Linked DNA regions of Drosophila melanogaster. The protein of the gene in region 2 interacts with the protein of the main gene of each other region in a pairwise test. Each region holds a gene or a part of one and is shown on either strand. Other genes may lie near its edges.

Region 1 (3,564 bases), on a different chromosome or scaffold from region 2:
CACCACGCAGTTGCAGGCAGGAGTGCCGCCCGAAGGTCGCCTTCCACAAGTGGTTCACAAGATTTTCCCAGTGTTGCTGCAAGGCATTGGTCGACTGCCTTACCGCACGGACGCATACGTGGCCAAGACTTTGGAGCAACTAGTTCAGCACTGGACGCCGCACTTTAGCTTCTCATCCAACGCCAAGCTGGTGGCCCGTCCATATGCCACCCTCCTCCAGGCGGATGTAGATGGAGAGCTGGCGCAGTTTGTGCTTCAGCTCCTCGTTACCCAGTTTTTGGTGGTCCAGCGGCGGAGGGCAGGACAGCATGCGGGCTTGGTGATCACTATAATGCAGCAACTGATAGAGAGCACTGGCAAAGAGCAGGAAGAACAGCTGCTAACCGTTTTGCGCGGCGTGCACATCCCGCTGCTGGAACACGTAATGTTCGTGGACGAAGTGGACCTCAGTCGCAACCAAGTGTTTGGACTTTATAAAGTGCTTATATCGCACGATGCCTACAAGCGATCACAGGCGGTCAGGGATATGTGCTCCAATCACTTGCGATCCCTCGCCGAAAAGCACCTGGCCCACTGCACTTACTTTTACTTCCAGATGCTGATCAACCTGGCAGAGCTGGCGCCGGATCTAGTGGCTCCCATCCTATCCTTTATAAGGGAGCAGGCAGAGCAGGTGGAGCTAAAACGCGGCGCTGGAGAAGATGTGGGCATACGCAAGTGCTTGCAGCGACTCCAAAAGGTCTTGAGCAGGGTTTAGGCTCCTCATGGCTTCTTTTGTACATATAAGGATTCTCAATAAAATGTTAGGCATTCTATAAAATCTTTATTATTTCAGTCGGAAGATTCAATGATTCCTCCTTAAGAGATATACGTTACGGTGCGGCAAAATGTACATGGTGGTTTACACAGTCTCGCGATCTGTGCTCAAGGTCTCAGTTAAAGTGTTGGAAATAAATACATTATGATTGCTTCTCCTTTGGGCAGTTCTATAAACAGACGGCTAAACCACGTTTTTGACGTCGCGCGGTATGCGATTGGTAAGCAGCTCGGCGGGCATAAAGCCGGAGTCGCCCAGGTACTTGATGGACACGTTGCCGGATGGACTGATGGTCAGCCAGGTGATGGAAGCGTGATTAATGTTAATCCGTAGCCAACCCTCGGCGGGGAACTGCAGGGCTCGGCAGACAAAGTAGCGGATCACGTTGCCGTGTCCCACGATCAGGGTATAGCTCTCCTTCTCTTGGTCGGGATAGGCGCGGTGGAAGTATCGGCGAAAGCCGGCCTCTATGCGCGATCCGTCGCGAAGGAACTGCTGCAGTGAAATGAAAGCCGAATATCATGTGGAATACGCACTGGGTTGACCCTTGACTTGACTTACAGATGCCTCCGGCTTCCAGTGGCCGACTGGCGGCTGGGGCGGAATAGGCGCTCCTTCACGCAGGAAGGCACAGTTCACCACTTTCTCTTTTTCGAAATCGATCTGCTTGAGAATAATATCGGAAGTCTCCTGGGCCCGCACCATTGTGGAGGCTACTACCTTGTCCCACTTGATGCCCAGCTCGCAGAGCCGTTTCCCAGTAAACTCCGCCTGCTTGCGGCCGCGCTCCGTGAGATGATGCGTGTCATCCGAGTCACCCACGTCCAGATACTCGCCATGCCGCACTAGGATAATGTGGCGCGCCTTCTTGGCCTTCGCCTTCTCAAGCTCCGCGTTGTAGCGGTTCTCCTCCTCCGGCTGGCTGTTTCGCAGTGGACGCACGAGGGCCCGTGGCTCCCGGCAATCCCAGTTGGTGTCCCAAAGGGCCCACGGATCCACCGGCTTATCACTGTGCGTCCACGAGTTCTGCACGACCGTCTGCGGGTCCCGCAGCCGCTGTAGGTAGTAAGCCGCCAGTCCGGCTCCTGTGCCGCACACGAAGCTAGTCAACTTTCGCATCGTTAGGGCTTTTAGGTATTTTCTTTAATTTTAGTTTTGTTCCGCTGAATAAGTGCGGTATTTAAATACTGCGATTTGGTATTTGACATACTAGGTTAGCGGGTATATAAATACCGCGCAAGACCATTTAGAATTCAACTATCGAAAAGTTACCAAGATGAATCAAAAATACGAAATATATTTACACAATTATTGTATACCAAGAAAATTAAGGATCCACAATCAATTGTTTCGTTAATTATTCCGTATGTGTTTCTTAAAGAAATACCATGCAAATACTGAATACTGAAAAGTACCAGCGCTGGCACTCCTTAATAACAATCAGGTTGACGCGATATGGCAACGCCGTAGTGTGAAAAATTGCAATTTTTTTCATTTCACACACACAGACGCGACAGATACGCCAGCATCGGAACGAAGGACGTAAAAAGGCCGCAGAAAAACGCCTATCAAAGCTGAGGTTTATTGAAGGGGTTATCAGAAAGATATCTCTAGGAAAAGCCGCCAACAGGAGTCACAGCGTCGACATTCCATCGGAGCAGCAAGAAGCAGAGGCGGGGGCAATAAGAAACGGAAGAAGAAGAAGCCGATTCGACGTTTATCAATTATGAATTTCCTGGGATTCGGCCAGTCAGCGGACATTGAGATAGTCTTTGATGGAGCTGAGCACAAGACGGCAGAGGTTAAAGGGGAGGACGGCAAAGTGGAGAAGATGCTGCTATTCTACGACGGGGAGACGGTATCCGGCAAGGTGCGTCGTGGTCAGCATCGGGGGGAGTTCCCCCAAGCATAACCAGAGATAAACCCATATCCACCCCCTTTTCATCCAGGTGAACGTGACCCTCAAGAAGCCGGGCAGCAAGCTGGAGCACCAGGGCATTAAGATCGAATTCATTGGCCAGATCGAACTGTACTACGACCGGGGTAACCACCACGAATTCAAGTGTCTAGCGAAGGCCCTGGCCCGCCCGGGCGATCTCATCCAGAACAACAGCTATCCATTCGATTTCCCCAAAGTGGAGAAGCAATTCGAGGTGTACGCCGGCTCGAACGTGCGGTTGCGGTACTTCCTGCGCGCAACCATCGTCAGGCGGATCAGCGACATAACGAAGGAGGTCGACATCGCCGTGCACACACTGTGCAGCTACCCGGAGATGAACAACCCCATCAAGATGGAGGTAGGCATCGAAGACTGCCTGCACATCGAATTCGAGTATAACAAAAGCAAGTACCACCTGCGGGACACGATTATCGGCAAGATCTACTTCCTGTTGGTGCGCATTAAGATCAAGCACATGGAGATTGCGATCATCAAGAAGGAGAGCACGGGCACGGGCCCCACCATGTTTAACGAAAACGAAACGATTGCCAAGTACGAGATCATGGACGGAGCGCCCGTCAAAGGCGAGAGCATACCCATCCGGGTCTTTCTTGCTGGCTACAATCTCACGCCGACCATGCGGGACATTAACAAGAAGTTCTCAGTCAAGTATTTCCTCAACCTTGTGCTGATGGACACCGAGGACCGGCGCTACTTCAAACAACAGGAGATCACGCTGTGGCGCAAGGCAGACAAACCGCGTTACCATGGCGCTCAGCAGCACCAGCAACAGCAGCACCAACACGTT
Region 2 (6,265 bases):
ATTTGCACGTCTCAGTTGAGCCCATTTAAATAAAATTGTAGAGTTTGAAATCAAGTAATTTTGTGTGGCGACTAGACGATTTTATAAAAATAAATTTGTTAAAACTGCTTGTAAATAAGTGGGAAATATCTTAGCTCAGAGATTCAGTCCTAAGGCAGCGTGCCAGATTCACACACATTCCATTTGGAGTTACCCATGCAAATGAGCTCCTATTAATATAAGTTATGCATTGGTGCCAAGCGTGGGACTATACGATTCATAATCTCATCCCACTTTCCATTTTGCGCCATCCGCAGACGAAGATGCTCCGCCAGAACAAGAATACCAGTACCAGTCTGCTGAACCTAAGCATAGGCGATGTGGGAGGCAGCCATCCACAGGGGCAGTCGCAATTTTGGGAACTGGATACGCTGCCTAAGCAGTTCGTCCTGTCCATGAAAAAGCTCTTCGACATCTTAGATGACAAGCAGACCGGATACGTGCGCTTCACGGACATCGAGAAGGGCTGGCAGGATGATGGCTCCAAGGGACTGCCACGCGGAGTTGTGGACTCACTCCGTCGGGTCACTCCCAGTAGCGGACTTCTCTCCTTCGAGCGGTTCTGCGCCGGCCTCAAGCTGTGCCTGCTCCGCAATCAGCAAAACGCTGTGGAAGACCTGAAGTTGCGGCCTCGTTCCCACGGAACTCTTGCTCCGGAGATGGAGTTCCATTCTCCTGCTCCGCCGCCAAAACCTCCACGACAGGTACCCAAGTCCCCTGCTCTGGGTAAAGACGACATTCGCCATGCCCTCCAAAACTGGCAACTGAACCTGATGGCGGACGCAGGAAAGTCAAAAACGACGCAGTCGCGGGAACAATTCGAACACCGTGGATCGGCTGACGGTGGCTCTTCCTCCACCTCTGCTTCGGCCACCGACTGGAGCCTGGCCCTTCCGGCTGTGCCCAAGAAGACCAGCAGCAAGCGCAGAGAGTCGCGGAGGCACACTCTGCAACACGGCATCGATTACAACATGCTAAAAAGACTGAAGCAATTGGAGGAGCAGCGGGAACTGCTTCTTTTCGGACTCGATGGCGTGGAGAAGGCACGCGATTGGTATATGATGCAGGTGCTCAATGTACAGGAGCAGATAAAGTATTTCGGCCGTTTAGGAACCCGATTTGTAAGTAGTCCTCTAGCTTGTAATTAATAGTTACCCCTTTCCTGATTTTCGCACAGGATCAGTGGTCTGAACTGCAGCAAGAAAGGCTAAACTTTCAACGCGCCCGCGTTTTTGAGGCCAATCGCAGCCTCCAGATTCTGGCCGACACCTGGGAGCACGGCGGCTACCCACTGCACATTAATTTGGCTGTGCCGACACCCACCGTCCCAAAACCGAGGCAGATGTCCGATCTGCTCAGTCGGGTTCGCGAGAAGCCGCCGCTTCTGTCAGACTTGTACGAGGCGCAGCACTCTCATTCCCATCCGCAGTTCCTGCGTGCCATGCCCAACTTCGTGCTCAGCCAGCCCTCGCCGGTCAGCCAATCCTCGGCCGGGCTGGGAGACGCCGACGTGGTCTACTGACGAATCAATGCTGCTGCGTACATTGTAAATAGTGTATTATTAAACAACTTGAACTATGTAAAGCTATACGGGATTGGGGTAGCGGCGCATGTACTTGTTAAGTTGCTTGTAGTTCAGGTTGCTGCCCGGTTGGACGATTCCCTGGTTCACGGTCTTCTTCGCCTCAAACTTACGGTCCATGTAGCACTTGTAGCAGTTCTGGAACTGGCTGATCTCCTTGTGGCAGTACTTCTCCACGAATTCGTTGTCTTTCAAGCAGGCGAACAGCACGCCCATCTCCTGGAGACAGGCCACATCGGATCCGGAGTCCGCCTTCCCGCTCACGGTGTTCTTCAGCCGCAGAGGCAGAATCTCCTGGAAGGGCACGTCCTTCTCGCTTTGAGGCGCTCGGCCGCGCGCGGCAAACAGGGCTCCGGGTACGCGCATCTGAAACCCCTTGGCTCTGTGAGTCCGGTCATTTCAGTCAAAAAATACGATTTTACCCACCTCGTAATTTCCACCGACTCCTGGACAACTGAACAGCTGCTTCAGATTACGTCACGAACTGGTTCCTGCTTTTGGTGGTGATTGCCAGTACGTCTGCAGCCCTGGTATTTCGTTTAACATAAGCATACGGTCACACTTAGAGTCTCCGTGGAACAAAAGGTAAATAATCAACCTGCGGGCACGCCAGGAGATTCTTCAAGGATCACCGAAGACCACGCGCACATGGAAGCCGCCGAGCAGCTCGACGAGGCGGCAGCACCAGCCGCCCTTTGCGCGCCTTCGCGTGCAGCCTACGCGGCCGCCGAGCAGGAAGATCCAGACCCAGACCAGGAGCAGGACCGAGGCCGGGAATCGCCCATTGGTTCGTTGGAGTGCGCCCCCACCCTGAGCAGTCGCAAGCGGCAGCTGAGTCGCTTTCATCCATACCACGGGTCCAATATCCAGTTGGGCGACGACGCCACAGTGGCCTACCGGAGAGCTAGTTTTGCCGACGCCCTGACATTCTCGGAGCGTCCGCTGGCCCCTGGGGACATCTTCTTGGTGGAGATCGAAAAGATAGAGCGCGGCTGGTCGGGCCATATGCGTCTTGGTCTCACCGAACTAGCGCCCAATGTGATTCGCACCAGCAGCGAGGGAAAAAAGGCGCCTCAGGAGAATCTGGTTTTTCTCGCGCAACCCAAGGGACAAGGCAGCACTCAACAGAGCCATCAAGGAACTCAAGGACAAGCTGTGTACCCTACGGCAAGACTCCTTCGACAGATTCCTTGAGGAGCTGGAACCTGGTGACCCGCAACATAATCTGTGGCAAGTCACGCGTCATATCAGGAGGCCTGCAAAGAAGGCGTCGCCGGTGCGAAAAGCGGACGGCTCTTGGTGCCGCTCTGAAGCCGAAAGAGCTGAAGCGTTTGCAGATCACCTCCAGAATGCATTCACACCATTTGACAGATGCACTGGCGAAGAGCGTGCTGCAACCACCAGGTTCCTAGAGAGTCCATGTCCTCCTAGCCTGCCCATAGAGCCCGTCACCCCAGAAGAGGTTGCGCAAGAGATCGCCTCCCTAAAGGCTAGCAAATCCCCAGGACTGGATCGCATCGACGCCACATCCCTTAAAATGCTGCCACCGCCCTGTTCCCAGTTGTTGGCCAACATATACAACAGATGCTTCTCACTAGGGTACTTCCCGAGATCATGGAAACGTGCAGAAGTCATTCTCACCCTCAAACCTGGAAAACCTGAAGCCAATCTTGCCTCATATAGACCGATTAGTCTGCTGACAATCCTCTCCAAAATACTCGAAAGAGTATTTCTGCGCAGAGTCATGCCAGTACTGGACGAGGCTGGACTGATCCCTGATCACCAGTTTGGCTTCAGGCGATCCCACGGAACACCAGAGCAATGTCACCGGCTCGTAGCACGCATCCTAGATGCATTCGAGAATAAACGATACTGTTCGGCCGTATTCCTGGATGTCAAGCAGGCGTTCGACAGAGTGTGGCATCCTGGACTCCTCTACAAACTCAAGTCCCACCTTCCCAGTTCCCACTATGCCCTACTCAAATCGTATACTGAAGGAAGAGAGTTCCAAGTGCGATGCGGTTCCTCAACAAGCACGACAAGGCCTATACGAGCCGGAGTACCTCAAGGCAGCGTCCTTGGTCCCATCCTCTACACCCTGTTTACAGCAGACCTCCCTATCATACCCTCCCGTTACCTCACAGCAGCCACCTATGCAGATGACACGGCGTTCCTTGCCACCGCAACAAACCCTCAATTAGCATCAGCCATCATCCAGAGGCAACTGGATGCACTGGATCCATGGCTGAAACGCTGGAACATCATGATCAACGCTGATAAATCCTCCCACACCACCTTCTCTCTGCGCAGAGGAGAATGCCCCCCGGTCTCACTCGACGGCGACACAATCCCTACCTCCAGCACCCCCAAATATTTAGGGCTGACCCTAGACAGAAGGCTGACTTGGGGCCCCCACATCAACAGTAAGCGTATCCAGGCCAACATACGCCTAAAGCAACTCCACTGGCTCATGGGTAAAAAGTCAAAGCTGCGAGAGAAACTAAAGATTCTCGTCTACAAGACTATTCTCAAGCCAATCTGGACGTACGGAATTCAGCTGTGGGGCACTGCTTGCACATCACATAGAAGGAAGATCCAGCGATTTCAAAACAGATGTTTGAGAATAGTCTCCAACGCCCATCCCTACCACGAAAATTCCGCCATCCACGAGGAGCTCGGGATTCCATGGGTAGACAACGAAATCTACAGACACAGCGTGAGATATGCTAGCAGACTGGAGAACCACCACAACCACCTGGCCGTCAACCTTCTAGACCACAGCCAATCCCTAAGACGCCTGCAGAGAACGCACCCGCTTGACCTTACTCAACATACTTAATCATACTTAACCCCTACCCAAGTACACTCGATGTACTCCCCTTAAGTTAATGTTTCCCTCCAAAAAATTTAATTATTGTCCACTAGGACAGATTTTAAATAATAAATAAAAGGCTACACAAAAAAAAAAAAAAAAAAAGCGAGGGATTACCCCATTTCGCACTTCCCGACCTCGCGAACCTAGGCAACAGCTGGATCTACCCAATCTCCAAGTTCGAAATGAACCAGCGCCAGGATGCAAACGACATCATCGAGCCTGAGACGGACGACGCGCCCCACAGTATGTACAGTCTTTAATACCATGCGCCCCTGTCTATAGCCAGTCTTTGGCAGGAAACCTTCTTGGCGACGCTACGCACGTGAGAACGCCCCGCGGCCTTCTACCAAAGAGACTTCTACGTCCGGCGATGGGCAACGGCAATGACTCAGACATCCTGCTCACGGACAAGGGCTCCCGCATCGGCATTATATACGTGCCCACTGTGCAAAGCGACTCGAAGGGCGAGCTGCACTTTATCATCAACGGGGTGGATCGTGGCCCCGTTTCCCGAGACATTCCGCTCAACAGAGCGCCTCTGTTCGTAGTGATCGATGTGTATGGCACCACCAAACAGATTCGAATTATCCAGCTAGAGGGCAGTAAGTGAAATAGATCGGGATGTGAGATGGACTTCTTTTTATTTAATCCATCCCCCCTTTCTGCAGTTTTGTCCCTGCAGAGCGCTTGTCGCAACGTTATCCTGGAGAGCTTTGCGGAGGACGCGATCAGCGAGCTGCCACTACCGGAGAGCATCAAGCGATTTCTGCTGCGCCGCGACTAGGGCTCTGGACCATGAGCTCTATGAAATAGGGCCCAGTGAGTGTGAATGAGAAATGCGTGTTTGGGGAAGTGTGCATGAGCTTGGGTCGTGATAGTCTGTTTACCCATATATATATTGTATACGCCTGCAGCGCTAGTGAAGGGCCCTTTCATTGACGCCCGACTCCGGACCCTAACAGATCTACGGATCTGGCCGATCTCCGCTAGAGGGCGCTTATATTTGTAATTTCTGTAGATATATTTTATACTTTGGTTCTAGTTACCAATACACTCTTTACCTGGACGACCTATGTTGTAGATCATAATCCTCGCCATCGTTTGTGTATGTGTGGATCACCAACACCAGCGGAGGTCTCCTGGGCGCCCCGACTTTTAGCGTTTCGGTCCCCAAGGCGATGCCCGTTTCCATTACCGCCTAAGCGTATTGTTGCTATATGTAAGTTAAGTCCACTTAATAAAGGATCGATCAAAGTCGCTGTAACTGCTAAAATCTTACTTTGATCTAATCCGTTTATTCAAAAGTGGATATGCATATAGAATGTGTGGATATAAAACAAAACATAATAGAGCCGCCGCCTACTTGCCACGGTTTTCTGCCAGCTTGGCCTTGAAGATGCTCTTAAGCTCGTCAGCGCCGTCGCCGTTTACCTCCTGGTAGTAGGGTAGCTCTGCCAGACGCTTCAGCCAGGCGTGCATCTTGGGAAACTTAAATTCATCGATGGGAGCGGTGTCGTTCACCGAGGTTACGGTGGCCACGGCGCAAAAGTCTGCGATGGTTAGATCAGAACCACACAAATACGGCTGATCCTTGAGGAATCCCTCTAGGATCTCCCAGCACTTCTGGATGTATGCGATCTTGTCGATGGAGCAGTCCGTCGATCCATAATACAGGATGGGCTCGTAAAGGAAGCGCAGGCGCGCGAAGAGGTGGCCGGAGTCCAGATGGAGCCGAGCATCCACGTTGGCGCGCTGCACCAATTCCTTCG

Evidence for each region.
Region 1: the proteins of CG3894 (region 2) and Pgam5 interact in a two-hybrid assay, tested with the Drosophila melanogaster proteins (one large-scale study listed by BioGRID).

The regions. Positions count from the first base shown.
Region 1 is NC_004354.4:1,871,595-1,875,158, forward strand, and holds Pgam5 (phosphoglycerate mutase 5), read right to left. Parts: upstream 1,972-3,564; 5' UTR 1,937-1,971; coding exon 1,379-1,936; intron 1,313-1,378; coding exon 1,001-1,312; 3' UTR 806-1,000; downstream 1-805. Other genes in the region: CG14803 (uncharacterized protein), read left to right, coding at 1-757; Vps26 (vacuolar protein sorting 26), read left to right, coding at 2,544-2,687, 2,767-3,564. UniProt on the Drosophila melanogaster protein: Displays phosphatase activity for serine/threonine residues, and dephosphorylates and activates Pk92B kinase. Has apparently no phosphoglycerate mutase activity.
Region 2 is NT_033778.4:24,760,986-24,767,250, forward strand, and holds CG3894 (uncharacterized protein), read left to right. Parts: upstream 1-2,181; 5' UTR 2,182-2,269; coding exon 2,270-2,680; intron 2,681-4,603; coding exon 4,604-4,739; intron 4,740-4,792; coding exon 4,793-5,098; intron 5,099-5,164; coding exon 5,165-5,280; 3' UTR 5,281-5,765; downstream 5,766-6,265. Other genes in the region: CG3880 (uncharacterized protein), read left to right, coding at 303-1,160, 1,217-1,561; CG12848 (uncharacterized protein), read right to left, coding at 1,625-1,987; GstE12 (glutathione S transferase E12), read right to left, coding at 5,856-6,265.